4 linked regions of the Oreochromis niloticus genome follow. The protein of the gene in region 3 binds, or shares a complex with, the protein of the main gene of each other region. Links are inferred from orthologs where the notes say so. Each region holds a gene or a part of one and is shown on either strand. Other genes may lie near its edges.

The links.
Region 1: snrpe (region 3) and prpf31 share a complex: the UniProt entries of both Homo sapiens proteins name them as parts of the U4/U6-U5 tri-snRNP complex. The link is inferred for Oreochromis niloticus from reciprocal best matches to the Homo sapiens genes SNRPE and PRPF31.
Region 2: snrpe (region 3) and lsm6 share a complex: the UniProt entries of both Homo sapiens proteins name them as parts of the U4/U6-U5 tri-snRNP complex. The link is inferred for Oreochromis niloticus from reciprocal best matches to the Homo sapiens genes SNRPE and LSM6.
Region 4: snrpe (region 3) and scnm1 share a complex: the UniProt entries of both Homo sapiens proteins name them as parts of the minor spliceosome. The link is inferred for Oreochromis niloticus from reciprocal best matches to the Homo sapiens genes SNRPE and SCNM1.

What each region holds. Positions count from the first base shown.
Region 1 is NC_031976.2:22,012,212-22,019,631, reverse strand, and holds the start of prpf31 (U4/U6 small nuclear ribonucleoprotein Prp31), read left to right. Parts: upstream 1-4,419; 5' UTR 4,420-4,598; intron 4,599-5,724; 5' UTR 5,725-5,742; coding exon 5,743-5,955; intron 5,956-6,049; coding exon 6,050-6,110; intron 6,111-6,260; coding exon 6,261-6,344; intron 6,345-6,448; coding exon 6,449-6,546; intron 6,547-6,769; coding exon 6,770-6,876; intron 6,877-7,420. Other genes in the region: uncharacterized protein lmtk3, read left to right, coding at 1,828-1,955. UniProt on the Homo sapiens protein: Involved in pre-mRNA splicing as component of the spliceosome. Required for the assembly of the U4/U5/U6 tri-snRNP complex, one of the building blocks of the spliceosome.
Region 2 is NC_031971.2:16,285,787-16,293,333, reverse strand, and holds the start of lsm6 (U6 snRNA-associated Sm-like protein LSm6), read left to right. Parts: upstream 1-4,539; 5' UTR 4,540-4,693; intron 4,694-4,706; exon of another isoform or gene 4,707-4,847; intron 4,848-5,014; 5' UTR 5,015-5,026; coding exon 5,027-5,120; intron 5,121-5,212; coding exon 5,213-5,326; intron 5,327-7,547. UniProt on the Homo sapiens protein: Plays a role in pre-mRNA splicing as component of the U4/U6-U5 tri-snRNP complex that is involved in spliceosome assembly, and as component of the precatalytic spliceosome (spliceosome B complex).
Region 3 is NC_031970.2:34,218,229-34,225,279, forward strand, and holds the start of snrpe (small nuclear ribonucleoprotein E), read right to left. Parts: upstream 3,018-7,051; 5' UTR 2,747-3,017; coding exon 2,693-2,746; intron 1,793-2,692; coding exon 1,766-1,792; intron 1,663-1,765; coding exon 1,600-1,662; intron 465-1,599; coding exon 386-464; intron 1-385. Other genes in the region: phenazine biosynthesis-like domain-containing protein 2, read right to left, coding at 4,056-4,168, 4,276-4,338, 4,539-4,622, 5,086-5,177, 5,417-5,505, 5,602-5,631, 5,763-5,795. UniProt on the Homo sapiens protein: Plays a role in pre-mRNA splicing as a core component of the spliceosomal U1, U2, U4 and U5 small nuclear ribonucleoproteins (snRNPs), the building blocks of the spliceosome.
Region 4 is NC_031976.2:31,213,596-31,221,091, reverse strand, and holds the start of scnm1 (sodium channel modifier 1), read left to right. Parts: upstream 1-4,481; 5' UTR 4,482-4,615; coding exon 4,616-4,666; intron 4,667-4,842; coding exon 4,843-4,913; intron 4,914-5,006; coding exon 5,007-5,095; intron 5,096-6,472; coding exon 6,473-6,567; intron 6,568-6,908; coding exon 6,909-7,009; intron 7,010-7,096; coding exon 7,097-7,221; intron 7,222-7,307; coding exon 7,308-7,428; intron 7,429-7,496. Other genes in the region: tnfaip8l2b (tumor necrosis factor, alpha-induced protein 8-like protein 2 B), read left to right, coding at 1-233; lysmd1 (lysM and putative peptidoglycan-binding domain-containing protein 1), read right to left, coding at 1,674-1,848, 2,378-2,685, 3,707-3,934. UniProt on the Homo sapiens protein: As a component of the minor spliceosome, involved in the splicing of U12-type introns in pre-mRNAs. Plays a role in the regulation of primary cilia length and Hedgehog signaling.

The sequences.
Region 1 (7,420 bases), on a different chromosome or scaffold from region 3:
AAATGTTTATATTGTATTATCTGTACTGAAACAAAAACTCTAAACGACATAAAATAAAAGCGAATGAGAAAATACAAAACTAATAATAACTGATGCTGATGTTAGCTTTCAGTGCAGCGCTGCACCACACAGCTGTTACCATAACTGCTGGCTTGTTGGACTCTACGTACATCAGTGTCTGCTGCTTCTTACACAGGGATTCAGTTAGTCTCCTCCTTGAGCTGCCTAATGATGTAACAAAATGTGACAGCCGCTAGCACATTCCCAGCTAAAATGGAAAACCTCAGTTCAGCTCTCTCCGCTGCAAATATGGAGCCAGAGTTAATCTTCTATAATTATGCCCCGGGATGCTGTGACATGTTGAACTTAGCAGGGATGTTAATCCCGCACTCAACAATGCAAGCCCGAGTCATGTTTCCCTGCACATTTTCAGCTGCTCTCGCTACTTTCCACTCTCCATCTCATGCACTCAACACCCTTTTTCACAGACTAATGAAAGTTGGGGCTCAGAGTTTGCTTTCGAGCTGTGTCACATACAGAAAAGGCAAAATTAGATTCCTTAATGATCTTTCAAGCCTTTCAAGACTTCAAAGTTTTGAAAGAGGAATCCGTGTTACTTTTGAGTTATTTTAAACTAAGTCTGCGTCGCCTCAGTGTGGTTGTTGACTGATAATCTAGATCTATTAAGATCTAGATTATCAGCTGATTTTCTCCCCTGTGCTTGGTACTGGGGGTTTTTTCTTGTGCATCTTATAAGTGAGTAAACATGTGTCCCAGTCACAGATGGATCATCATTCTCCTATGAATAGATTGGTTGATCATCAAAATTCATAAGAAGACCTACTCCTCCTACAGTATCGGTCAGAATTTAATCAAAATTACACATTGATCACCTAATGGGCCTTCATCCAAACTGTGCTTCGGCTCAAGGTCACACTGGTAATTTTACAGGTACTTTTTCTCAGCATTACCTTCAAGCAGGTAATGCTCGCCCTGATGTACTGAATGATATTGATAATATCAGATTCTCAATGTTGATGCACAAAACGACCAAGAAAGAACTTCGTGGTAAATGGATTGGTACTTCTGGCACCTTCTACTCAATTCTGAGCACTCAAAGCGAGTCTCATTCAAACAGCCTGTTTATACCTTATACGTGCACACACTCACATCAATGCACTGGGGGCAACTCAGGGTTCAGTGTCTTGTCCAGGGATGCTTTGACACATGGCACAAGACGAGCCAGGGATTGGTCCTTGATTGGTAGACAACCAGCACCACCTCTTTAGAATAAACAAAGTGGTAGCTTGAAACATCGCTTTGTCACACATGCTTCATATCGCTGGTATCCTGTTAGATGATGATGATAATTATGATCTTATTCGTTGTGATGATGGAGGGAGTGGTCCTGTTGGAAGGGCCGGGCCTGCCTATTAACCATCATGCTGATATAACATGCTCAGTGCTATGACACACTGATCCTTTTATATATTTTCATTGCTTTTTATGGCAGAATTAGGTAGTTCTAGTCCTCCAAGTTTGACAGTTCTTTGACTTCTTAGTGGATTCTGATTTGTTTGTGCAATGCAGCCAACAAACGATTAGAAAACTTAATTGTTTCAGTTGTGATTGATTGTGAACCGGGTGAATGTTTTGGTTTAATTCCAATAAAAAGACTTTCCTTAAACTTCCCCTTACAGTCAAACACACGCTTATTGCCCGGGAACATCCTGTTCATTTGGGCTTCGGTATTTATGCCTGGTGCACTTGTTCTGGTTTTAACACCAGCACAGTCATGATGCTAATGTTGTTTTTTGTCTCTTTTAGGGCCAAAAAGCAAAGAATCGAAAAGGAAAGAGGATTTATCAGTCAAACCAAGGTCACCTGTCGGGGCAAATTCAGTGACTTCATCGCGCTTCACTGTCAGCCCGGCTGATGACCCACACCTGGTGTGATGTTGCACATCATCCTGGAAACACTTTAGAGCTCAACCCTCTCGGACTGGCCCGTGAATTAACCCAACAACCAGCCATTCGCCCAGAGGATATTTTTTTATTGAAGAGGCAACTGAAAGAAGAGACTTCGATTCTAAAAGCTGGAAACATTCCAGGTTTTACTAGTGACGGGATTTTGTACGACTGGGGGTTGCTGAGCTCCGGCCTGCCACTGTTTACAGAGTTTATTCATAGCCTTTGGCTGCAGAAATCTTTGGAAAAGGCAGCATATGCTAGGCGAAGAGGAGCCGGGAGCTTTGTAAAATCTGAAACAGATTCGACAGCTATGCAGTGGGAGTCTTGCTGTGTACCAGCTTACCTTCTCTTTTTCTGCTTTGTTCTGTTTTTCCCTGGGTGTGCAGGGAATGCACTTTCTTTAGTCATTCGTCTGTCTATGTAAACGCTTGGATCCCGGTCCTCTCTTTATTAAGGACATTTTTCATTGCAGTCAGTCAGTTGTTCTTGTAGGCAGCAGTTTGAAACAGAAATTGCTTGACTCCTGTATTTGACAATACTCCTCAGCATTTGTACAAACATCATAATACAAGTGTATACAGTATCATTTTAGAGCTGTTTACTTTTAGATGTATTCTTAGACTGCACGAAAAATGAAACAAGCAGTTTATTTTTACTTTTATTTCTGAAAAGCTTTAATTTCTATATTTATTTCTATGTTATTTTACTTAATTTATGTAAAGTCAGTTTCCATGCAATATCTTAATTATTTATTTAATCTATTAAGTTATGTATTTATTTGCTTTGGTGCAATTGCATATATGAACTTAGCTATAATTTGTTTGGGACAGAAATGCATCTAGGTCTATAACTTCTCCAAGATCTTCATAACAAATAAATCAAAATATTTTCCCAAACGTCTTAATTGCTAAACAAAAAAAAAAGTATTTTGTATAATTTTACTTGTTAATATATGCCAATATGTATGGAACAACGTCCTGTAATGTTTCATTATTTTCCGATGTCTATGAATTTTTAGCTGTCTCGTCATTCTTTTATCTTAATTAATGACAGTTAATGTAGCTTAGCATGAAAAATCGAAGCCTTTCATTAGTAAATAACTCCCATTTGTTTGTGTATCTGTTAATTTATTCCATTTTCTACTAATAACAGTCCATCATGCAGTCGAGATCCAACTAGTCAATTTGTTTAGTCTGTTTAAATGTTGGTTTAAACTTGTATTGTTTAAAGAATGGTTTTCAGGGGGCAATGTATAAACAAGGGGGAAATAAAAACTATGAAATGTGAACCTCTTATTTGAACTGCGTCATATAAATAAGCTCGATTGTTACTTTTACTTCATTCATGACCAAGAAAAGCTGCACTTATATCCAGATACATGTTTGTCAATGAGGGCTAAGTTGCAAACTATTGACATACTAGAAATTTTACTCAGAGACGTATGGGCTGTAAGAGCAAGTTATATATTATAAATCAATTAATGCTTCAGAAGGCACTGACATCACAGACACAGTTAGTGAAAATGAGATGGATTGCTCCAGCTGTCTGTGCTGGGAAAACCTGTCAGCCAGCAAAGCCATGACCCCAACTCCATAATCTAGGTAGATACAATATAAAAATGTCACCTCCCAGCACAGGTGAGGCTGGGAAACATGGAAGCGTTTTTTCTGCTACTGATTATCATTATTAATATTTTTATGTATATTTTTGATGTCCTTAAATCAACATTTTGGGTTAGGTATTTTGAAATTTTGACTTAGTAACTCTAAATTAAGGTTAGTGTTGTGAGACTAAGTCATTATGCTAACATTTTTTTCCTAGCTTCCACTAAATTATCCCTAGGGTGTAAAAGGGGAGGTGGAGGTGTGTGTGAGGATACTTTAATTAAAATTATACTTATGAAAAACATGAAAAAAAAAAACAACTTTAAGTGGTTCATTTTAAATTTGCAGTTACACCCAAAAGCATATTGTAATAAATAAATATAACTCACCATTAGTATTCACCAGTACCTATTCGCCTTATTACACATATACATTCAGATCAACTTAGAGCATCGTATTTTGCATTCAAACAGATCTTAATCCATATTTTCACTGTACTGTACACCGAGTTTATGTATGTACTGTATATATTTCACAGATAGATAGATAGATAGATAGATAGATAATCAAACCTGTGTCAAAAAGCAAAACAAAAAACACCCTCTGTGATTTTTTTTTTTTTTTTTTTGTTAAACTTTATTTAACAAACAATGAGTATACAACATACGAACAGATGAAGTATACAAAACAACAGAACATGAACACACAAAGGCAGGGGTAAAAAGTTACAAGAATACACGCAAAAATTCACAGATATATATTGTTTTGAGAGCCTTTTTGTTGGTAGAGTCTGATATTGATTGTGCCTCTGTGATTGTGAAGTGTACTGACACAGTTTCCCACAAAGCTTTGCGAATGTACGTATTTAATCTGCGACCAGCGGTACATCGGCGCCGCACAACCGGATTGCAAACAGTCAAGAAAACAGAGGGACGAATCGTTTTTTATTTCTATTCAAAGCGACTGAAACCTGCATTGGACGTCTTTATTTTTTCTTAAACCAGTAGGACTCTGAAACTCTGAGGTATGTCAAAGTTACTGAGAAATCGCTCAGTAACGTCGGACCAACGTTCGCTAATGCTAGCTAGCTAACAATGTTAACTCCAAACACAGCCAGCGATAACCCAAAGATGGAAGCAGACTTAATACTTCACAGTTTTTATGTGGCGGTGATAGTGTGTGAGGGACTGAACACGGCCTCGATAGTATCTCAGACGAGTCTGAGAAGAGCTTCTTTGTCAGAAGAATATGTCACAAAAATATGTCTACAGATGAATTTCTCTTTCAGGCTTGAAAACACAGCGAGGTCCATAAGTTTTTGTATTGACACACTTTTTGCATTTGATTTGTATTTGTATTGTTTGATAAATGAGTAAAACTAGTATTAAGTATCTAGTGCTCAAATAATACTATTAAGGAAGGGGATATTAGAGACGTGCTTTTTTTTTTTTTTTTTTTTTTTAAAATAAGAATTTAAGAATAAGAATATTGTTTTAGTTGCTGGTTGTGCGTCTGTAGAGATTGCTTTATAAGCCCTCAGAAAACAGTCAAAAAAGGCCAAGCAGTTAGAACCCAAGGGATTTCATCAGATATGTAGGCTTTCCCAACACAGAGTTAAAACAAAAAAAAAAGTTACTGTACTTTTATGTGATCTAATGCTGAGATTATTGGTGTATGTTCTATAATTGAAGATACTTGGGAAACATTTTTGGAAATCTCCAAAGCGAGCATAAATAATTTTGTGAAACAGAATGCATTTGTATCACACTTCTCTGGTCTTGTAAACCACTTAAAGCTCTTTACACTAAAAGCCACATAAATCTGTTTATGCACACATTTATACAGAGGCTTATTGTATACACTTAGTTTATCCCACATGCTAGTGACACATCAGGAGGAGCTTTTTTGGGTTTGTTTTCATCCCAAATTTCACTTCAGTTCAATGTAAGTAAGGACTAGATGAGCCAGTGATCGCACTGCTGACCTTTTAAATATGGGATCCTCAAGTTATGTAACCAGATCATTAATAAAAAAATAAATAAATTCAGAGTTACATCAACAGCAGCAAATAAAGAACATATACCCCACCAAACTCAGTGACAACCTCATGTAGGCAAACTGATCCTAGTCAGCTTTGCTTGTCCTCACAGTTTTCCCATCGATTGCAGATGTCTCTGGCAGATGAGCTCCTGGCTGATCTGGAGGAGGCCGGAGATGAGGGAGAGGATGGGCTGTACCCAGAAGAAGAGAGGGACAGCGATGGAGAGCCGAACCAGGGAAGTGCAGACGGAGGGCTGGAAGACATCCCAGAGGAGATGGAGGTGGACTACAGTAAAGCTGAGAGCGTCGCGTCTATTGCAAAGCTTCGCAATAGCAAACAGGTGAGTTGTATCATACAAGAGCTTTACACATGTTGAGATTAGCAGTAAAATGTCTGCTCTGTTCTTCCCAGAGTGACTCTTGTGTGTTTTGCAGTTTTCAGAGATAATGGACAAAATTTCTGAATATATTGGAAAGCAGCGTAAGAACTCAGAGGGTGAGTGTTGTTATTATTATTTAAGGCTCTTCTCACTATCAGTTTCCATTCATTTCTCTGTTTTACTCTGTAAACACATTTAATTTGAACTTAATGGTAACCCAGAGTAGTCATGGAGTTGTTATTATTATTTTTTTTGTTTGCTTTTAGTCTCAGGCCCAGTCGAGGCTGACCCAGAATACAGACTGATCGTCGCAGCTAATAACCTCACAGTGGAGATCGACAACGAGCTCAGTGAGTTGGCTTCTTCTCTCTGGTGATCCATAATGCTATGTTTTGAGATTTAGTTCTCTTCCTTATAACCTGAGATGTCCTCTGTGTTTCTGATTTGTTTCTAGATATCATCCACAAGTTTACCAGGGACAAATACTCCAAGAGGTTTCCAGAGCTGGAGTCTCTGGTGCCGGATTCTTTGGATTACATCCGTACTGTCAAGGTGAGCTGAACTATGTATTCATCTTTGACCCCCCCCCCCAAAAAAGAAGCTCAGAGTTGACTGTTTCTGTTTTTTAGTTAGAATTAGGATTTCTATTTTTAACAAAACTGACATGATTAAAGAGTTTAAAACTGCACCTGTTAAAAACATTGTTTCCTGTAGTTTGTTTGAACATGATGTTTTCTCCCCTAATTTTTCTTCTTTTTTTGTGGTTTGTATCTAGGAGCTGGGAAACAATCTGGAGAAATGCAAAAACAATGAAACGCTGCAGCAAATCCTTACCAATGCCACCATTATGGTTGTCAGTGTCACAGCCTCAACCACACAGGGGTAAGTTAAAGGTCCCGTCTCACCAGAAGAGTTTCATGTAGTTCACTGTGACAACTTCCTGCTAGAATCACCTTAAATCACTCACTGGAAATGAAAAACTATGGGGTTGCTAATGCTGGGGGGCTGGAGCCTATCCCAGCTTAATGGGGAGAGGCAGGGTACACCCAGCACAGGTCACAGGGCTAACACACAGATGGGCAACCATTCACATTCATGGTCATGTTCACACTCATATACCTACCTGTTGTCAATTTAAAACCACAACCATGAATGCATGCTTTTGGACTGTGGGAGGAAGCCTAAAGAGAACCCTTTATGTGCTGCATACAATTAAAATTATTATCATCATGTCTTATTTTTACAACTGGATAAAAGCCAAGTACTGCCAATTTTGGAATATTAATTGTAAAATCTGAATAAGTCTTAAACACAAACTAAACACAGACTTCTTCTTTGAGTCTCATAAACACCATAACTTTTATACCTCATTTTGAAGTGATTTATATTTGAAAAGTTGCAAAATTAAAACTTCCTTCAGTCTTAA
Region 2 (7,547 bases), on a different chromosome or scaffold from region 3:
ATCCATTACTCTAAAATACAAAATTATATATATGTATAAAACACACACATATATAAGACACATGAAGCGCAAATGAATACAAAATTAGAATACAGTGAGGAAAAACAATCAAACATTTAAGACCACCTGAAGCAATTTGACACCAGAAAGGGAAATCTGCTACTTACCTGAGAACATGTGCTGATTAAAAGCAAAAACAATGAAATTAGAAACAAAAACAAAGCCTGTTGATGCTTTTGTATTTGCATGTGTTTATTTATTTATTATTTTTTGAATCTGCTGTTACAGCATATGTAAAAAAAAAAAGACTTGGCATCTTAGACATACATTACACATGTAATGCATAGGCAGCAGAACAGTCTGGCGATCACTGACAGGTTAACCACAGATACAGCCCACAGTGTCAATGTTTTAATTAAGCCCTATTTCAGCTGACTTATTAACCATCATTGGTGGATTTTGTGCTGGTTACAGGCCAGAAGCACTTTTCTCAGCCTGTGGATTATACCCGATTTGCCCGTGTAAGCTCACTTCAAACATTTTCTCATTATATTTCCACTAAGATCCAAATCAGCACGAGAAAACGTCTGCATTAAATGCCGGTCATGAGTATAAGTTTTGCTTTATCCACAAACTTCATGACTTGGACATTTTTTTTCTGTTTTTATTAGATCATTGGTTTTTATTATACTACGAGATAAAACTAATGAGCATTTGCATTCAGTGCGTTCAAGAATGGAAGCGAATAATCAGCGTGCCGCGTTTCAAAAAGCAAAAAGCCACTCTTCGTTACAACTATAGGATAACAAAGGACAACTACATGTTAGCACGCAGAGGTCATTTCTGAAGGCCATGGAGAAAAACTGTGGTTTTTTTCTTTCCAAAAATTTTCTACAAAGCAAGCAACGACAAAGGAAACAAGGGACAAGGGGGAAAAAAATCTTCATTGAATATTCATTAACCGGTGCCTAGGTGTATACATGGCTCTTAACCACTCTTGTTTATGACTTAAGGACTTGTAGTACTGACCTTAGTTTAACACAGCAGCAGATACCAAATTAACCTCTAGCCTCCACAGGGCTAGCCATGCCCTGCTAACAAGCAACCTGTCTAGACACACAAGAAGTACTTTATGATTCCACCTCTCACAATCCCCCTCTCTCTCTCCCTCTCTCTCTCTTTTTCTCTCAACCTCTCTGTCTCTGCTAACACGTACTGGCACATCCTCGTGCCCTCTATCCTCTTCTATCTTTCACCTCACCATTTCATCCCTATTTCCCCCCCTACACCATTTTTCATGTACCTCCCAAGCTGTGCAGTGTTTGGGTCACGCACCCCAACAACCAGAGTTTTTATCAGATGGTAGACTTTCTCTTATCCTTCACAGCACAGCTTACCAATAGCATAATAATAATAATAATGGTAATAATAAAAAAATAATAATACTATTACTATTATTGCATTATACTTTTTTAAAGCTATAATGCACTTTATTTATTTCTATTTTAAAACAAGAGAAATTCCACAGTGATTTAAAAATGTGTAAACCCAAAGTGAGAAACACTCATAAACGTACTTTAACATATAAGTAAACTTCTGTAGCTTTTAAAGATTTCCACTGAAAATTTAGATTGAAATTTATTACATTAGGTTAAGCTTTTTGATTAAATTAAATGAAACTTTGTCCATATGATTAATGTAGAATTTTACATTTGTGCTATTTTGATATATATTTCATTCTGATAAATAATGAATAATTTATTTTAAAATGTTTGTAAAAACAGTCCGAAACTTCAAAATATTCACTTTCACTGTCATCAATCATTTTTTGTATTTATTTGTTTTTTATTATAAAGCTTGATTTGATATTAACATCCAGCGATGAATAAGTAGAAGGACCAATCAGGCCAATCTAATCAGCTCTCAAAGGAGATGGCAGTTATGTTTTCGACTGTACTCACACATCAGGTGTTTCCTTCCTTGTTAGCAGATCTGACTTCATCTCGGTGTGCATCTGGTCACCATTCAGCTGTCGAACAGCAACTATTTTGCAATAACAGAGACAGTGACCAGAATCTGTGAGGGTCTGTAGAAGTTTTACTGTTAAATTTACGCATAATGCAGTTAAATAGTATCAAAGTCAAACGTGTGAGATTCAGAGTAGTTTCATGGACATTTAGGGAGAAGCATATTTACCACTGTGTTGCATCACCTGTACATTTTACAACACAACCTTAAATTAAATTGCAGTAATTTAGACCACAGAGTTCTTCCTTGTTCTTGCTTGATATATAATTTCCGTTGTTTGTGTTCTCTGGAATTGTTTTGGGGGTTTTTTATTTTGTTTTTTGCAATGATCCATTTTTTTTTATTTTGTTTTTTAGTGTGTAACAAAAACAAACAGGAAGGACTGTTTAGCACTGAGACTCTTTTACTTTACTCTTTATGATGAATATGCAAAATATGTACAGACATCTTCTCACTGAAATAAGCAATGATTCTTCTGAGAAACACATCATTTGGACTGCATAGCATATGTTGCTTGAAAATGTGTATTTATCCCTGTGTGCCCTACAGATGTGCAGGTTAAACATGCCGCGTGTACTAATGCACATGACCATCACAGATCTCAGCTTTTGAACTATGTGCTGATAAAAATCTACTTTCTTTGCATGGTAGTGTTTTAACTTTCATTTGCTGAGGCAGTGACAAATAACATCCATCCTTCCCTCCATCCATTTATCCAATTCAGGGTCGTAGAGGGGGTGTAGCCTATCTCAGCTACCACAGGGTGAGTGGCAGGGTACACTCTGGACAGGTCAGTAGCCTGTCACAGACAACCAGACATGCAGTTAGTGGGGTTAGGTTAACTGGTGATTCAAAATTGCCCATAGGTGTGAATGTGAGCACGAATGGTTGACAAATAATATTTTACTGAAAATGGACCTTGACCCCATGCAGTGATTTCTACTAAAGCATCATGTCCATTTTTAATGTAGTGTTAGCTGAGGGCCCATAGATCATGGCCCGTCAGCAAAAATTTTGGTGAAATCTTTATCGATTCTCTGATTGATTAATTGCTATTATGTACCACAAATGACCACAGATTTTTTGCAGACTCAACATTTCCAGTATGCTTATTTTTTTGCCCATGTACCTGATAGTCTTATAATATTTTCAGTTTAGACTCTGATATGTTGCCTTTGTATTTTTTTCTTAATTACAGGCTTCAAATGATTTGCAAATTACTGCATTTTTTTCTTGTTTACATTTTACAGCATCCAAACTTTTGTGAAATCATAGCTTATAATATATATTGATGTCACCCATTAAGTTTAACTCAATTCTGCCTCAGGATCATATGCATTTTTAAAACAAGGCAAGCACCTAAATGATTTTTTTATATTTTAATTTAACAAGACAAAGAGGTATGAAGTACCAACATCATTATCTCTGTTGTTATTATTAATATTCATCCAGAAATTGCTCTGATTTCTTCTTATTTGGGTAGTGATTTTCTGTGCTTTAACCAGAATCCAGATTCAAATGTTTTGTTTTCATCATGCTCTTTCAGCCTATGGTGGTAATTATGTGAAATGATATATAGAAAACGCACAGTTCCAAATTAATGACTAACAGGAGGAAAAGAAAGGTCCAAAAAGGAAGCTGATATATATATATGTATATATATATTATTTTGCTGGACTAAAATTCATATTTCCTTTTTCTTCATAATCTTCTCTTTGCACATCAACTGTCATGGCTGGGAACATAAAAGTACAGGTGATGCTGAACACAAGGCTACAGTGTTGCAAGAGCCTTAAGCACATAAAAAACGGCATGCTCTGAGAAAAGTATTTAATCCCTTACAGATTCCTTTTTTTCCCTCTTTTTTTTTTTGCCACTTTGGCACACTTACATGTTTCAGATCAACAAAGAAATTGTAATTTTAGACAAAGGTAACCTGAGTAAATACGAAATGCGGTTTTTAAATGATGATTTGATTGATTAAGGGAAAAGACTATCGAAAGCTGGCCCTGCGTGAAAAAGTCATTTTCCCAAAACCTAATAACTGCCTGTGGCACCTTTGGCTGTCACTGTGGTTCGTTGGAGTCACAAAGCCTTAAAAATAGCTTTGTAACGTTTCTTATCAATTCTTGAGATTTTTTTTTTTTTAGATTAAGGAATGAGGAATGGTGTGTTGCTTTTTGAAATCTTTCACCTTTTACACTTTGTCAGACAGCTTCTACTTAAGTGATTTCTTGATTCAGCAGGTCTGGCAGGAACCAGCCCTGGCTGTGACTAGGGAAAAGTTACCAGTTAATTCATGACTTAACAAGGGGAGGGATTATTTTTTTCACATAGGACCAGATAGCTTTAGAAGCTTTTTTCCTATAACAAATGAAATCATAATTTAAAAACTGCATTTTGTATTTACTCAAGTTATCTTTGATGACCTGAAACATGTAAATGTGACAAATATGCAAAAAAAAGGGCAAAAAATAGAGAAGGCTCAGGCAAACATTTAATCACAAAACTATAGCTACTTTGTTGCCAGTTTGATACCTGATTATATGATTAGCGATCAATCAGTTAAGTTTTTTGTCCTCAGCCTCTTTCCGTACAGAACACGCTTGTGATTGGTCAATCTCACGTCCATGCTAAATACAATTGTCTGGAAAACCTCGGTCTGGTGAGTGAAATGCTAACAAACATATTGCTGCTGCAGATAAAATTAAAGGGTTTCTCCTTGTGTTGTTGGGTGCAATAAAATGTAAGCAGGATTTTCACAAAGACAGCGACCCTCGCTGCGCAAACAGATTCACGGGAAAATAGTCGGTTAGCAGGTTTGTTATACTCGTTAGCTAGCTAGCCGCTAACGATACTAGCCTGTTTGCGTTAGGAAATCGTTACTATTACAGACATGAACACGAGTTAGCTTTTGTCACGCTAATGTAGCTCCATGAAATAAATTGCTACTATAGTATCTAATGCTCATCTTTCATCCTTTCAGATCACAGTCAAAATGAGCCTGAGGAAGCAGACCCCGAGTGACTTTCTGAAGCAGATCATTGGCAGACCTGTTGTGGTCAAACTGAACTCTGGTGTCGATTATAGAGGTACGTAACAGCCTAGCCACTTGTTTCCCCCCCAATACTGATCGGTAAGTAATGACTTTAAAGGAAAACACGGTGTGTTTGTGTACCTGCAGGTGTTCTGGCCTGTTTAGATGGTTACATGAACATCGCCATAGAGCAGACAGAGGAGTATGTCAACGGGCAACTCAAGAACAAATATGGAGATGCCTTCCTAAGAGGAAACAATGGTAAGCTTGTCCCTTTTATGTAGACTTTGGTATTAAAATTTGAGGCAGTATAGGTCTTCTGTAAGAAGACTGAAGTGCATAATTAATATGATGATAAAATAGAGTAGAAAAATAAATGCAGGTTGTTTATGTTTCTGAGGCCATCAGTTTTTTCTCTTAATGTCTGAAACTGCAACTCATTCATGACAGTTAAAAGGAGCAGAAAATATGACAAACACAGGTGAGGAGCGCAGGTTAAAGTGTGATCTAAAAAGGTTGATCAGCCAACTTACCCAGAAAAGTAACCTTCTCTGTAGGATGTTCCTCTCAAAACAGGAAGCTGTGGTCTGTCTGATAATGACTCACATTCAGTGCTTGCTTATTAATTCCGTTTAAATGAGGGCATACATTATGAATGACACGACTCGGTTCAGTATGGTGCCATAACCTTTTAGCTATGTTCTGGTCTAACACAACTCCTTTTTTTCCCTCATAAAATAAATTTGTACAGCTCCAGTAAGCTCTGCGTAAAAGTCAGTCGTGAACAGTAACCAGAATCCTGAAACTGTAAAACTGAACTCAGAAATGTGTTTTACTATATTTTTTTTTTAATTTTTTATTTGCACTAGTACTTTTTTTCTCTTTAAACTGTGGAAAAGGTCTCTCGCCTTCTTGAAAGTATTGTGAGGGTTAGCCAAATGGTGATAATTAGTTAAAGATAAAAAAAAAAAAAAAAAAAATCCCACTCAAATTAAATTGGTCTTCAAATTAAACTTTTGCCTGCATTGATTTTTCGAAGTACATCATTATATGATAATAATCAGTAGATATCCTGTTAATGACAGTAGCTGTTAGCTGATGCCCGAGCTGATTTATTAAGATATTTTTAACTCATTAATTATTGTTAAAACAACACATTGTTAACACAGCTCTTGGGAACTGCCCTTTTTCACTCATTGCATTTTCTTGTGTCTTGCTATATTTTTATGAAACTTTGTATTAATATTCTCCATGTTGATCAGCATAGACAGACTGGAGCGAACTCAAACTGTACAATGGTTTTGTACAGAGACATTCAGATAAAGTGGTGTGAAAAAGTGTTTGCCTCTTTTTGATTTCCTATTTTTTTGTATGTTTGTCACACTTAAATGTTTCACATTAAACTAATTTAAATACTAGACAAAGATAACACAAGTAAACACAAAGTGCAGTTTCTAAATGAAGGTGTTTATTATTAAGAGAGAAAAAAATCCAAACCTACATGGTCCTGTGTGAAAAAGTGATTGCCCCCCTAAACCTAATGGGCCACCCTTAGCAGAAACAACTGCAATCAAGTGTTTGTGATAACAGGCACTGAGTCTTTTCCAGCACTGTGGAGGAATTTTGGCCCACTCATCTTTGCAGAATTGTTTAAGTTCAGCCACCTTGGAGGGTTTTCAAGCATGAACCGCCTGTTTTAAGGTCATGCCACAGCATCTCAGTCGGATTCAGGTCAGGACTTTGACTAGGCCACTCCAGAGACTTCATTTTGTTTTTCTTAAGCCATTCAGAGGTGGACTTGCTGGTGTGTTTTGAATCATTGTCCCAACTCTGCTTCAGCTTGAGGTCATGAACAGGTGGCTGGACGGCAGAATTCATGGTTCCATTTACTACAGCAAGCCTCCAGGTCCTGAGGTAGCCTCAGACCATCGCACTAACACCTTTTCACTGTTGGTATATGACATTCCTTTTCTAAAATGCTTTGTTCGCTTCATGCAAGATGTAATGGGACACACACCTTCCAAAAAGTTCAACTTTTGTCTTGTCAGTCCAGAGAGTATTATCCCTAAAGTTTTGGGGATCATCAAAATGTTTTCTGGCAAAACTGAGGCTGTTCCATGTTTTCGCCATTTGTGGATAATACCTCTCATTGTAGTTCACTGGAGTCATACAGCTTAAGAAATGGCTTTAAACCCTTTTCAAGACCAAGAGGTTGCAATTACTTTGTTTCTCGTGTGTTCCTGAATTTCTTTGGATTCTGGCATGTGCCTGGCTTTTGAGGATATTTTGGTCTACTCCACTTTACATGATTTCTTGATTGAGAACAGGCGCAATACTAGTCAGGCCTGAGTGTGGCTAGAGAAATTCAACTCGACTCAAACTTTGCAACGATGTGATACACCACAGTTAATTTATGTTATAACAGGGTGGGGCAATCACTTTTTCACAAAGGGCCATGTAGGTTTGGATTGGTTTCCCCTTA
Region 3 (7,051 bases):
AAATGTAGCTGCTAATGTCGTAGCAGCTACAGAATTGGCCTGCACTTTCACCATTTGAAAACATTTAGTACGTCACGAAACAAAAAAATGCACCAAAGCAGACTGACGATTGTCTTGAAATTCTTACATGTGTTTTGTGTTTGTATTTTGCTTCTTTGTTTCAAATCACTGTAATTGTTTTTAATTACACTTTACATAGCATCCCAGCATTTTCAGAATTGGGTTTGCACTTTCTGGGATATGCAGGACAAGTGTTTTCAAAAATCCCTGAGAAGCAACAATGTCTTGATGACACACATTTTTTTTTAATTCTTACCTTTCACAGACATCCTTCCTAAAATTGTAAAATAATAAAACAGCTTTACAAAAAGTGGTGCGCTCTTACCCAATGGTTTTCTGTTCTTAGTCTTCATGTGGACTTCCTCAGCATCGTCTAGAACCAGATTCATGTACTCATCGAAACCCTAAGGCAATGAGACACAAGACAACTAGAACTTACTAACTAGAACTTGTGCATGCCTGATCTCACAGAAGGTTCAGCCTGAGTGGAAACGCTACTCACAGATCAGGCCATTTCAAGTTAGACTGAATCATTTTAAGCCATGCTAGGACATAATGTGGCCATACAGGGGAACAGCAAGTGACAAAGGTTTGTTCCTAGTGAGAGCTTATTTCCATCTCAATAGCAACACGCACATGGTGAAGATCACCTTCTTTGATTTCTTTGGTGCGTATAACACATTTCAGCCACTGCTACTTAGAGAAGGCTAAAGGGAATGTCAGTAAACAGTTGGCCATCTCATGGATCACTGATTATATGATAAACAGTATGTGAAACTGGGCAGTGCTCGGTGTCAAAATGATGACATACAGGAGCTCCACAGGGAACTGAGCCATCTCCACTCCTGTTCACCTTGCACACCTCAGACTTTCAGTCATGCCACCTACAAAACTAATAATTCTGCAGTGGTTGGATGCATCAGTGATGGGCAGCAGGAGTACAGAGCACTAGTGGATGATTTGGTGGAGTTGTCAGAGAGGGATCCACTGTTTCTGATTGTGAATAGGACCACAGAGATGACAGACTGCAGAAGAAAACGGGTGGCTATACCACCTGTGTCTATCCCGGGACAGAATGCTAATGTGGAGGAGGAGAACAAGTACCTGGACATCCACACTGATAACAGGTAGGGCTTGGCCATATCATACTGTTCACGGTAATACCGGTATAATGTTGGACAACGATAAGAAAATGAAATATCATGATAGAATCTGGGTAAAACGCGCATGTGCAGTGCCTTTGTTTTCATACGCACATGGCGGAAAAAGCACGGCGGCTACGGAGAATAAGAAGGGCGAAAGCGGATTGTTGAATGAAACGGATGAACCAGAATTGGTTTGTAAAAATGCTGCAACTTCAGTGGTGTGGAACTGGTTTAGCTTTCGTCCGTCAGATACACAACAAAGCACTATTTTTGGTAGCGCATGCTAGTGGGCCGTCGTTATTACCGTGTTTTTTGGAAAATATGGCACACTGCCCATGAACATCAAGCTTGATAAACTGACCAAGAACATGGAGAAAGGTTATATGTTACTTACAATAATGCAGCCTTCTATCCGCATGTTCACCTGTTCATACAACCAAACTTGGATCCGTGAGCGCTGAGAATGAGAGGGAGAATAAACTGCATACAGTTTTATCTTCAAAATTACCAGAAAACAAAACTAATCAGAAGTAAGCACAAAAAAGTTACAAGCTACTTACATTTTGCAGGTACCTGAAAATGAGATTCTGACAACCACAGTCAAGGACATACACACAGACTCGAGTTCAACATGTTTAGAGTTAAAATGTGCACATATATTGTTAATGGTTATATTCGCATTTAGTCCAAGTTATCGGAAATGTGATTCAGAATCAGAGTTTGGGTCAGGGGTTCTTCCTGGCTTAAAATTGGCTTTTGGTCTTCATATCTTGAGGGCAAACTTTATTATTTTCCCCTGATCCTTTTGTAAATAAAAATCTGTTTAACAAAGAATTAAAATATAGTTACATTTATTTTTGGTCATTTTAATTCTTACACAATATTAGCACTAATATAACATGCTGGCATTCCCATAAGAGACCATTTAAACGTGGATCCATAGCAAATAAAAGAAAACACTATTAAGTTCCACTAACAATTAACTAATTATATTTTTAAAACATTTGAGAAGCTGAAGGTAATTCCGGTTTTATAACTAATAATTGTCAAGACACTTTCGTTAGTTAAGTATTCCGTAACTTCCTTACTCTCCCACATCATATTATATTTTGGTGTTAATAACTATCGATTGGTGGGCCTAAAACCCTCCTTATGGTATCATATTGAGTAGTTTGAAGGCAGAAATTAGCCTCTTTTGCGTTCAGCTGTAACACGGAACAGCAGAGCCGGGCTTAAAGCGGCTAAGTCTATACACTAGTTTTCTGACTGGATTTCAATAAACCACATTTTTCTGCAAACATATTTCATACCCGCGTGACTTCTCTGGGTGAAACTGGTCTTCACAAAAGCTTACATGCCTTGTAAAACTCCTCTCCTCACATGAGTGACTACAAATGTTTACGAATGACTAAATGTTAGCCTAGCTGCTAAGCTATTGTAGCAACCAATTCAACCGCGCAGTGTCGTCCTGCAATACAAAAGGATACAATGGGCTGCACCATAACCTTCTGGACCTTCTGTCCTTGTCCTCTGTATGCCATTCCTACAACTAAATACCAGCTGTAGGTATATGCTGAAAAAAATTGCACCTTTTCTTAAGAGTGCACTACAACGAAACTCTCACGTTGTGAGACGTCTTCAATGGCGGGTTTCCTTTCGCGTGCTCTGCCAGTACCAGCACGGAGGTCTCGTGATGTGAAAGAGCGCCCCTGCGGGTGGGAGGTATCAATAAAAACACTAGAACAAATCAACGTTTATAACCCGAAATCTCGCGAGAACATACCTGTGGAAGTTTGCTGGCAGTGTGAAACGCGCCCAGTCTTCAGCATAAAAACAAACTAAAAGGCTATATGGCAACATCCATCATCGTCTATATGTGAGAAAAGTTAACATTCTCCAGCTCTAGGTGTAGTGTCATTTCCTGTTTCCTATGATAGAGCTATAGTATGTAACCAGAAGTGTCAACTTTAAAAGAACTTGACTATATTAGTGGGCCTCACTAATATAGATTATTCCATTGTTTATTCCATTGTTTTGTCAGTAAAAACCTGTATGTGCAGGAAAGGATTATACAAAAAAACATGTCAAAAAAACATGTCATCATGATGTCTGTGAAGGTTCTCAGTCATCCACGTCATCGTAGTCTAAGGAGCTTGGAAAGAAAAGCGTCTGGACTTCTTTAAGTTGCTTGAAGACGTTTCACCTCTCATCAAAGAAGCTTCTTCAGTTCTAGGGTCAAATGGTGGGAAATGGTCAAATCTGGGACTTGCCACCATTTGATCCTAGAACTGAAGAAGCTTCTCGGATGAGAGGTGAAAAGGTGAAACGTCGTCAAGCAACTTAAAGAAGTCCAGACGCTTTTCTTTCCACGCTCCTTAGACAATGTCATCATGATGACTTTTAATTTCAGGAATATGTACACGTTATTTAGGATCAAAACGAATCTGCACAGTATCATTTATACCAGTTTAGTCCATATCAGCTGTACTTAATTTTATTGAACCCCATTCATTATTAAGCAAAAAGCAAAAAATTCTACCGACCACAAGGCTAACCGTGACTCTTTGGATTTTACCTGCTGTGTTCTTGTGTTTCTGTTTTTACCATTTTAAAATCTTTTGGTTGTAACTTTTTTTGCTGTAATGTTATGAATAAATGATAGAAATTGTAAAAAAGCCTACAGTATGTTTGTTAGCTGAATCATTTCAGAATAGAACAGTCAGGACTTGAGTGTGTTTTTTCTTTTTATTTGAGCCATCTCATTTTTAATCAAGAGCCACAAAGTGTCTATCTGCAGGGACACAACGGTTGTGATAGAACATCAGACACTGTCTTCTTGGATGTCTCAGCCTACAGTTTGATTGTTCCCTGCAGAATAGTGATGGCCTGTCCAGCTATGTTGATTCTTCCATCATCTCTCAGTTCAAGTTCCAGCTCGCCACCACGACTGGAGCACTGGTAAGCTGCACAGACACAATAAGCAGATTAATAATGGATAAAAGTGGAACACAACATCTGTTATCAGATAAATGACACATTAGTAAAAGGCGGAGAAGGTTAAAATACGTACCCAGCATTTTCTTCTTTCCTAGTTTTTCAGACCAGTAGCTACCTAGGACTGTGTGGTTAGATCCTGCCAGAGCAAAGAATGCACAGCAGGAATAGCTTAACACTTTCTCTCATTAATAAGACACCTGTAAATGCATCCTCTTTAATCACTTTAGTCCAGCTGCTTATATGTAAATGTTTTTAGACACACAAACATGGTCAGAATTATGTTATTTGAGGAATAATGTCTATAGATTACATACTAGTAAAGAGGAATCATCTTACCAGTGACAGGATCCTCAGGGACTCCAACCCATGGAGAAAAGTCTCTCGAATAGAAGTCATATCCTGGCTGGCAGTCTGGTGATCCTGTTTCCACATGTTAGCAGTGTTTGATATTTAATGTTTGTTGGCAGAAACATTCAGTCAGTGTTGTTACACAAATTAAAATGGGCAACAAACGAGTCCACAGGATGGTGATGGCAAAGGAGAAATCAGCGCACCATTTGTCCTGTGATCAAACATTTCCCCAGAGCTCAACCCAAGTGAAGGCCTATATGATGAGTGAAATCACAGACTGTGCTCTTCATCACCATCATCATTAAAACACCAAATGAGGGAATGTTTTTGGCAGATTGCTGTTCATCCCTCTAACAGAGGTGCATCGAAGCTTTTCTGATGGTACATGGTGGGACAACACCTCACTTAAACACTTCATGTTTTGTTTCCTTTGGTTTATTCTTTACTGTTTACGTCTTCATTGTAATGGAATTACTACATGTGGTCCGATCCAGCAAGTCTACAACTCTACGAAAGGCACAGCTCCGATTACCTTTCATAGTGACGATGACGGCGCAGAATCTTCCACTTCTCTCAGTATTCTCAAGAGCCACAGTGTCAACTTTCAGATTGGTAAGCGCGGAGCTGGAGATAATACACAAAAAGCATATATACATTTACTAAAATGTGATGAGTGGGTGTAGAAGGGCAGTTGCTTGATTATTTGTTTGGGCTTTAAACATATGAATAAGCCCCACTAGCTGGGCACCTGAGAAATATAACTGATTGTTGTTGCTGAACAAATGTTTAAGATCCCATGAACAGTAGGACCACTATTGAGATTCATTTGAATTTGGCAACAAGCAAAGTTTTTTTTAACCAACATGTCACAGCTGTCAGCCAGTCGAATCAGCAGCTTCTTGGTGTTGTAGCAAAATAAAACTTCCTGAACCGGGAGGTTTCCGACTGCCGCCTGTGTCACACATGTAAAGGCAGAGACTTAGCTGAATACACACACAGGAATGTAGTTACACTTTCACAAACTGTTCACAAAAATGTGATTTCTGACCTTGATGGTGTCTTTGAAGTCGTTGGGTTCCTGAAATAAAAAGAGTTCAGAAAGAAAGCCATTTTACATACACTGTTAATAAAACACAAGAACTAGTTTATTTTACATTACAGGATTTGATTAAATTGTTCATGTAACTAAACAGGAAAAGTTTATTTTACCACTCGGGTGGGGGGATTCAGAGGAAAGTCCATGATGTACCCTTCCTCCTTCTTGGTGACGTGCAGATCTCCACTCTTGGTCTCAAACACCAGGGTGGGATTTACATTTTCTGAAGGAAAACATCCATTACACGGTTACATGCTAGCACCTCTTTGCTCCTTCTTGCAGTCAGCTGCATTGTGCATTACAGGCATCTTTAAAAATAGCTCCAGCGGCCTTTTCTACTGCACCATGATGTCACTTTTTTTTTTCAAAAACCTTTTTATGTGTAAATGTTGCATCTTACTGATGTGTTGGAATAGCACTGCTGCAGAGGCCAGAGTGGCATGACCGCACAGATCTACTTCAGTGGTTGGTGTAAACCATCGAAGGCGGAATCTTGATCCTGTTAATCACACATTTAAGACTTTTTTCAGTTTTGTTTTGGTATTAGTTTCAAATACACAGAGTTAAGCAGTGTAGATAATAATGTTAGTGATTGGCTTACATCCACAAAGGTCTTCAAGGTCAACTTGAAGGTTGGTCTACAGATCTACAAGTCTACAAGGTCTACAGATTTCAAATATGTCACATTTGACCTATGACCCTCCCCTTCAAGGTCAAGACATCTAAAGGTCAATGTTATAATAATGCTATATAGAGCTACTTAAGTGTGTTTCTTACTGCCATTGTACTGTCAATGGCACTGTGTGTCCTTAATCCTGCCTGATGGGTCTAGTTTAATTTTGCTGAAGGCTAACCTTTCGTGATTCTCTTACACAATCCAAAATTTGTAACTGACATTTCTCAATAGCTACAAAGTGCCATGAAATAGACTTTGTGGTGATTTGAAGATATTTTTCTCTAATTTAATTGTATTCTGATCCTGAAATGTCTGTTGTCTGTGGCAAAACTTACAAGTTTTAATCGTGTGACAGTGTCACATCTTCCTATGGTCACTAGCAGATATTTATGTCCTTAATAGTAACCTGAAAGCTGAACTTCTTGCAACATTTTTTATCCTAATACCAGCTATCTCATGGGAGACAGTTAGCTTTCATTGAGTGGATTTGTCCTTTTACGAATAAACTTTTTTCACTTTTTTTTTTGATAATCTCAGGCAGACTGATACAGGCTTTTTTCCTCATCATATTTGGACTATTTTAATTCCTTCTGCCTTGTTCAAACTTTAGCTGCCAGAGACGAGAAGAGCAAAGACCACATTACTCCCGCTACATTAGACTTATTCAATATAGAATTGATTTTAAACTTTGCTTTATTGTTTGAACAGCCTTACATGACTTCACTC
Region 4 (7,496 bases), on a different chromosome or scaffold from region 3:
CCTTTGAAAAAACAGTGATGGCAGACATCCTGACCAGCTGCAGGGATCTGCTGCTGAAACTGGTCAACACCCACCTCACCACTAAATCTCATGGTCGCATCAACCATGTCTTCAACCATTACTCCGACCCACAGCTCCTGACCCAACTGTACAACCCTGATGGGCCCTTCAGACCCAACCTCACCAAGATCTGTAAAGGACTGAATAAACTAGTGGAAGATGGGACAATATGACATCAGAACTAAATTTCAGACAGACACTGGGAGATCAACAGACAGACTCAACTAGGACTCTGAACTGCTTGTTTTTCTGTTACTGAGGACTGGCAACATAAAACAAGTCATTTGAGAACCAACCTGCTTTCCCATAGTTCTCAAAGAACATGTGGGATACAAATAAAGCTTTGTGGAGTCATTCAAGTTTTTGATATTTTGGGGCCATAAATATATATTATGTAAGTGATGCTAATTTTCTATTCAGACAGTGTCCAAAGAAAACAAACTTGAAATTAAACAGATATATTGTGCATTGATTATTTTACTAGCATACAAAATATCATCTAATATTTGTGACTTTGAAATGTATTATTCAGAACTACTGATATTATGCATTATAATCACTGATATGAATCAGCTGGACAGATGCATAAGCAAGTTAGGCCTGGGAACAGTACCACTATAGTACACCACTGCCATCTGGTGGTTAAGATGATGCTTCTGCAGCAACAAACTGTATTTACTGAGGTGTCCAGACAACAATCAAGCCAAAAATAAAGATAATGACCCCAGAGTGCACAATTACTGCGACCATGACTGTATTTTAAAAACATGTTTAGATCAACAAAAAGACAGACTCTTTACTCATGACTGCTTGAACAGCCAATCTATAATTCATGATTTTTGGATCACAGTAGGGCTTAAAAATGTTTTAATTCATTGGTCTATTGGCTATTCATTGGTCTTACACGGCAGTTAAAATGGATAAAAATCAACTCCAATTGGACATTAAATCTCACATAACAGCTAAATCTGCATGTTATACTAAAAGATATTTGTTAGCAGTAATGTGAATAAATGTCATTTAACATGGGATAAAAATATTTATTTTAAAACAAAAAATACAAAATTGAGAAGACATTAGAAATATAACCTTAACAACACAATTATTGCAATGAAATATTATAAAGCCTACAAAATGTTTTCTTGCATTTTCAGCAGTAATAGAAAAACCATCATTCTAATCAGTTTATTGTCATCATCATTATTACAGTAAACGTAACTTGTGTTTAAGATTCCATTTCCTAAGGTTACAAGTCTGAAAATATGAGGCAATTACACACAAACCCCTTTTGTGTTGACCATATGATCATCTGACTAAATATGATTGATTTTTCATTTTTCAAATTTCAAGTTTCCATTTCCTGGATGTGAATAGTCATATGAAGCTTTTCACAACCTACAGTATGTCTCACCAAATAAATAACAAGTCTACAATTGTGCAATATAATTTTTTTTAAATGGAAGTGTAAAAACACTTTTATGCTTTAGGCAGCAGCGGGATCACCGGGGATTCCTTTTCATTCCTTTATCCGTAACGCTCCGTTATCCTGGAGATCAAACAGCGCATCACGGCTCCCTGCGAAAGTTCCATTAATGTTCTGAGTGACAGACATGTCACAGTTCAAAGATTTCATCTTCCTTGTCTCTCAGTTTCTTGGTCAGTTTGGTGACAGTGAGCGGTACTGTCCCATGTACTGCCATCCTGGAAGATGAAATGACACTCTGTGACCTCGTAAGCGGCCGGCAATCTGATGTCCTGTTGTTGCAAGTTGCTTCTAGTGTAGCAACCCTGGTAAATAAAAAAAATATATAACAGAGCAAGTCATTCACAGTGTACTGATCTTAGGCTAAATTGATTGATATTCTTAAAAAATAAAAAAAAATAAAAATAATCGCTGTTGCACTGGTACTATCACCAGGTCATTACAAATTAAATTCAAAGTAGCTATTAAGCATTGGGAATCTTTTGAACAGCCACATTGTGAGTGGTTGATGAAATACTAAGAAGGCCAGAAAGGTGGATGACTATACTTGACATGACAATCTAGGTTAAACTGACCACCAGATACTATCCATGTATATCTATGCTTAACATCAAAATGCGTGTATTTAACCATGACCTCAACATTGTTTACACATCAGTGAAGGTACAATATTCTCAGCGACATGACTAAAAACATATCCATAAGCAGGACCAACTGATCTAACTATTAGTGACTTAAATACGAAGAGGGTAAGTCTCTGTAATGCTACAAATGACCCTGACTGGACAACAACTGTGCAAAGAAAAGAGCAACCAGCGACAGGCACAGTTATACCTTTTCTCTGCTTCCTGGCATCCTTTGACTGCAGCCTGCTTGGACTGGCTTATCAAGTCATCCAACCTTTTCAAAAAATCCCCAGGAGTGAGATCTTTTCTGTCTTCTTGATTTTTCTCAGAGGAACTCCCTGTGTGTCCATTGTGAAGCGAAGCAGAGTTAGCACTGCCTTTGTTGCCGTCCTCCTCAGCCACATCCAGCCCTTTACTGCAGTCGTCCAGGTCTGCTATCACAGGGATTGTCAAAGACTTCTTCAGGAATATTGAGTCATTGGTGTACAGCCTGTTTGCTCTTTTGATTTGCTCCATCTGAAAGAGAAAATGTCCTTGTGAACCTTATGTTAATTAGTATTAGACTTGGCTAAATCAAGTCTCACTTTTACCGAGATCAGTAGGCAGACAGCAAACCAAATAAATACATGCCATTTTAAGGCAAGCACTTTTTCATAGTATGCCCTAACAGCTGAATAAACAATTTAATTATGTAGTTGAACGTTTTTGTTGAACCACTGAGATAACCCTACCTCAATAAATATGAAAATAAAACAATAAGAAATGTGATTATTCACCCACATTTACATTTCAGTATTGGTAAATCAAGTATTCAGTTAGAAGACATCATATCGCAACAAGTAAATTTCAACATAAGCTTAACATGACATCGTGGTTTGGGAACAGCTGTGTGAAGGACCAAAAAGCTCTCCAGAGATTGATCCGTACAGCAGAACGCTGCTGCAGGATTGCTCTCCCCCCGCTTCAGGACACCTACACCAGGAGATGCCGGACTAGAGCAACGCAGATACTGAAGGACCCGTCCCATCCTGGCAACAAACTGTTCCAACTTCTACAATCTACAAGAGGAGCTTCTATCCTCAAGCCATCGGCCCTAAACCAACACCCCCCCCCACCCACCCACACACACACACACACACACACACACACACACACACACACACACACACGCCCTCTCACATCATCTATAATTGACTGAGACTTTCCTCCAGACACTCATTTCCTTTAACTTTAAATATGTTTATATTGTCCATTCTGTAAAATAGTCAGATGTCTATTCATATTAATGTACAGAATTGACCTGCTTGCTGCTACTACTGCACATTCACCCAATGTATATTTATAATGTTATTCCTCTACCCCCCCTCCCTTTTTGCACATGTCGAGGAGCGTGTCAGGATACATTTCACTCTGTGTTATACTTGTATAACTATGCATGTGACAAATAAAGAACCTTGAACCTGAACTGTTAAAGGCGCAAGAAATAAATACTTTAACTAATTCAGTCTCAGAGTCAAACCAACACAGTCATACTCACAGACACTCCATACTTCAGCGCCAGGCCTTGCAGTGTCTCTCCCGGCTGAATTATATGTTCAATACGTCTCTGGTGCACCGGGGACAGCGGAGATCGGATCAAACTGCCGTAAGATCTTGTGCGGCTCCCTCGGAGTAGGCCGTCTCCTCCAGCTGGTAGTGGAGCTCGCTCCTCTGACATTGTCGTAAAACACTTATATTGTTCTTTTTTTGTGTGGTAAACAACCATGTGGGCCTAAAATGCGCTTACCAGCGAACTTCACTGCTGTTAACATCTTCACAATAATGGCTTCCGCTTTAGCCCATAATTATCAAACTAGCAGCTTAGTTAGCCTGCTAGCTAAGGCTATCAACTTAATTAACGTCGTCGCTCGTTATTTGTTCCAAGCGTTCAATCTTTTCTCCAAAATGACAGCCGTTTAAACTATATAGAAAGTTTCTTGGATTACAAATATAACGTACCTTATCTGTCAAATACACAACTAAAAGTCGCTGAAAAACTTGTTTTCAAAACTCTTGCAGTCAGCTGTCTACAGCCATATGTTGCCATGGCTGCCGTGTTCACTGACTAGTCCTATGATTCGCCACAACGCGTTGCATTAAAGACTGTAGGGGAAAAATTTGCGTTTTATATTAAGTTGATATAGTTTGTTTCACAAATTGAGCAAATACAAACTATAGCCACAAATCGAGCTTTCAAATGACTATGCGGACTTTATATTATAAAAACCAGCAGATATCGTTGTAGTTCCGATAGCCGAAACAATTATCCACCTCAAAGATGAGCACAGGTCTATATTTCCTATCTTCCGTTTGTCCATGAATGCAGCATTGCTATTAGCTTATATATTATAGCCAAGAAGCTACGCTGCTACTCAGATTAGTTTTTATATTATTGATCATAACAATTATGTCCTTTAAAAGAGAAGGTGACGATAAAAGCCAGCTGAATCTCCTTAAGGTACGGATCAATTTGCAGCATTTTATGTTGGCTTAATAACAGAGACTTCAGCTAAGAGCACACATGTGGCTAGTGTTAGCATCTTTAAGCTAACAACATACTGTAGTTATTACTTTGGGAAATAAAATTGTAGTAAAACTTACATACTATCTAACGTTATTCGCTTCGTTTTACAGAAACGTCGTGTGGCAGACCTTTTGTCTAATTTTATTCCAGAAGATGAGGCTGCTCTTATGAAAAATGGAAGGTGGAGTGAACTTCAAAACATTGATATGTTTGGGAAAGACAAACTTGTGTAGCTAACGGCATGTTTAGTTTAATTTCTCCCCGTATCTTATAGGTACACTTGCCTTGTGTGTTCCTACCGTCCTGTGTTTGATACAGTCGACATGTTGACAGTCCACAGAAAAGGAAAGAGGCATCTAGACGGTGAGCACCTTTAACCTGCAAAGTTATTTAAAGCAACTAAGTTAGTACGTGGGCTCGTACCCCGGGGACCTAGCGGACCTGAAGTTTCGGCCCCAGTCTTATTAAGAAGCGCTGTATCAAGGGTTAGCCATCTGCACACCATTTCTATCCCTTGTCTTTCGCCCTATTTATTGAGACAGTACCCCATATTTTAAATGACTCTGCATTTCTAAAGTCAATGCTGCAGGACAGGCACTTTTATGAGGTCGAGCTATCATCTGAGGTGCTGTGAAGTGCAGGTTAATATGCCATCCTTGCTACATATGCTACACAAAATCAGAGGAGTACAGATGCATAAACTATGCATATTAATAGAATCTGCTCAAAAATAAAATACAACACTGAAGACTGAAAAGCTACTTGTGAGAGGGAGAAGCTACATAACTAACTGAGGATCAAAGAAAGAGATGCGCTGGTCAGTAGTTATGTCCTCATCAGGCAAAACAACAGCCAACACAAGACCTGTATTGTAATTTGATGCAGCAGTTGAAAACCCAACTGAGTAAATGAATAAACTCAATAAAACTCAAAAGCAGCAGTCAAGGGGAAATTTTGCATTGCATTTGCAGATAATCAAGTCAAGTTAACAAAGAGTTGAAATATTGGAAAGTTCAATAGTTTTTGGATTGCGTCATTGGTTAGCTGTTTTTGTGTGTCTTTTCTAATGCTGCGTCACAAAGAGTAGTTTTGGTTTTCAAATTATCTGGATTTGATATCCCGTCATTATTTGGAAGAATTAAAAACCCAAACGATGATACATTGTAGCACTTTTTCACACTAAAACTGCATATTTACAAGTACATAGGGATAAGTAAAAATTTCATGCTTTTGAATTTGTTAGTTTTTCCATCACTTTGAATGGCTGTCAAACAAATTGTACTCTTTAAGTGTCAGAGTGTTGTACAACTATCTAATTTTTCTTCACCAGGTTTTTTTTTTTTTTTTTTTTTTAACATCCAACTTTCCTCATTCGGAAAAGCAAAACTCTGTCTGTTGTCTCTTACACAAACAATTAAAGACAAGCATTTGTACCCTGGAAGTTTTCTTTATTTTCTGATGATTCACTTGAAAAAATTCCGGAAAGTGTATTTTGAATAAGGGTATCACCGTATAACATGTATGTTAGATAAGTTACAGCATATAAAAAGTGTTGTTTTTACCTACATTTCGATACCAGTTTAATTTCTACAGTATGAAGGTAAAGTTTTGCATGTCTTCATTGTATATACCAAACTTGCTGTACTTCAAAGGGAAACGAGTATGACTTTTTTTTCAGGTTTGGTTCAGTTTACATTGACTTTTTAGTAAACCCAGTTGTTTGTTGTGTGTTCTACTCAGGGCTAAAAGCATTTTATGGCAAGAAAGCACGGCTGAAGAATGAAATAACAAAACGGCAACATGAAAACTACGTCGAGGCTGAAGAAAAAAGGCAGGTTGGTAACTATTAATCATGCTTTCTCTGTCAAGTTCACAAGTCTGTCATAGCCAACAGAAAAAATCTGTGTGTTTAACAAAGCAACAACAGATGAGAACCAGCCGGGTCATTCTGCCAGCAGACGGTCAATGAATCATCACAGGAAAAACATCACGAGCTCAACAGATGTAATCTTTCTTTACTGCATGACATTGTTATTCCATGTTGTTGTCTCCTGTTAAATCACTTATGTGGTGCCCGTGTGACTACCATATGACTCTAACAAATTACACCTTACTAAACAATTCAGTGTAGTTGTGTAATGGTGGAAAATATGAGCCACTCTTGTTGTGATTTCAGGAGCCCTCCAGTTCAGCCCCATTACTAGCACAAACACGGAAGCTCACCCATCATGCTTTGCTGAAAACTGTACCATATAACAGCTGTCATAGAAAAACCAGGTGAGTGATTACTTGGTATGAGAGTTGTCTGTATTTGAAGCCATACAATGAAAAACACAATTTAAATTATTTGTCATTCTTTTTAAGCACAAAATCTGAAAAAGTGACAGCAAGCACCAGCTCAGACCCCAGTGACAACATGACATCTGCATGCTGGGAATCTGGCATTTCAGTGAACACGTCACAAAGCAACTCTACTGTCTGTTCAACAGGTAAGGTCTGCTAGAGGAAATGTTTTATTGTCAGCTTTTATTTTGAGCAAACCTTGGTCATGATTTTGCCTGAACTCTTTTTGTAGCCAATAAAGAGCCACATCCATCAAAAGATACGGCCGAATCTCAGGCTGCAGAGACACAGGAGGCTGAACCCATCACTGCCCAGAGGAAGAGAGAGCTGGAGCACTACCTCAAACTGAAAAGGTGCCTAAATGTTGTGGGACTTTCACTTTCTAATGTTGTACATTTTCACTACTTTTTAGCAGATTATT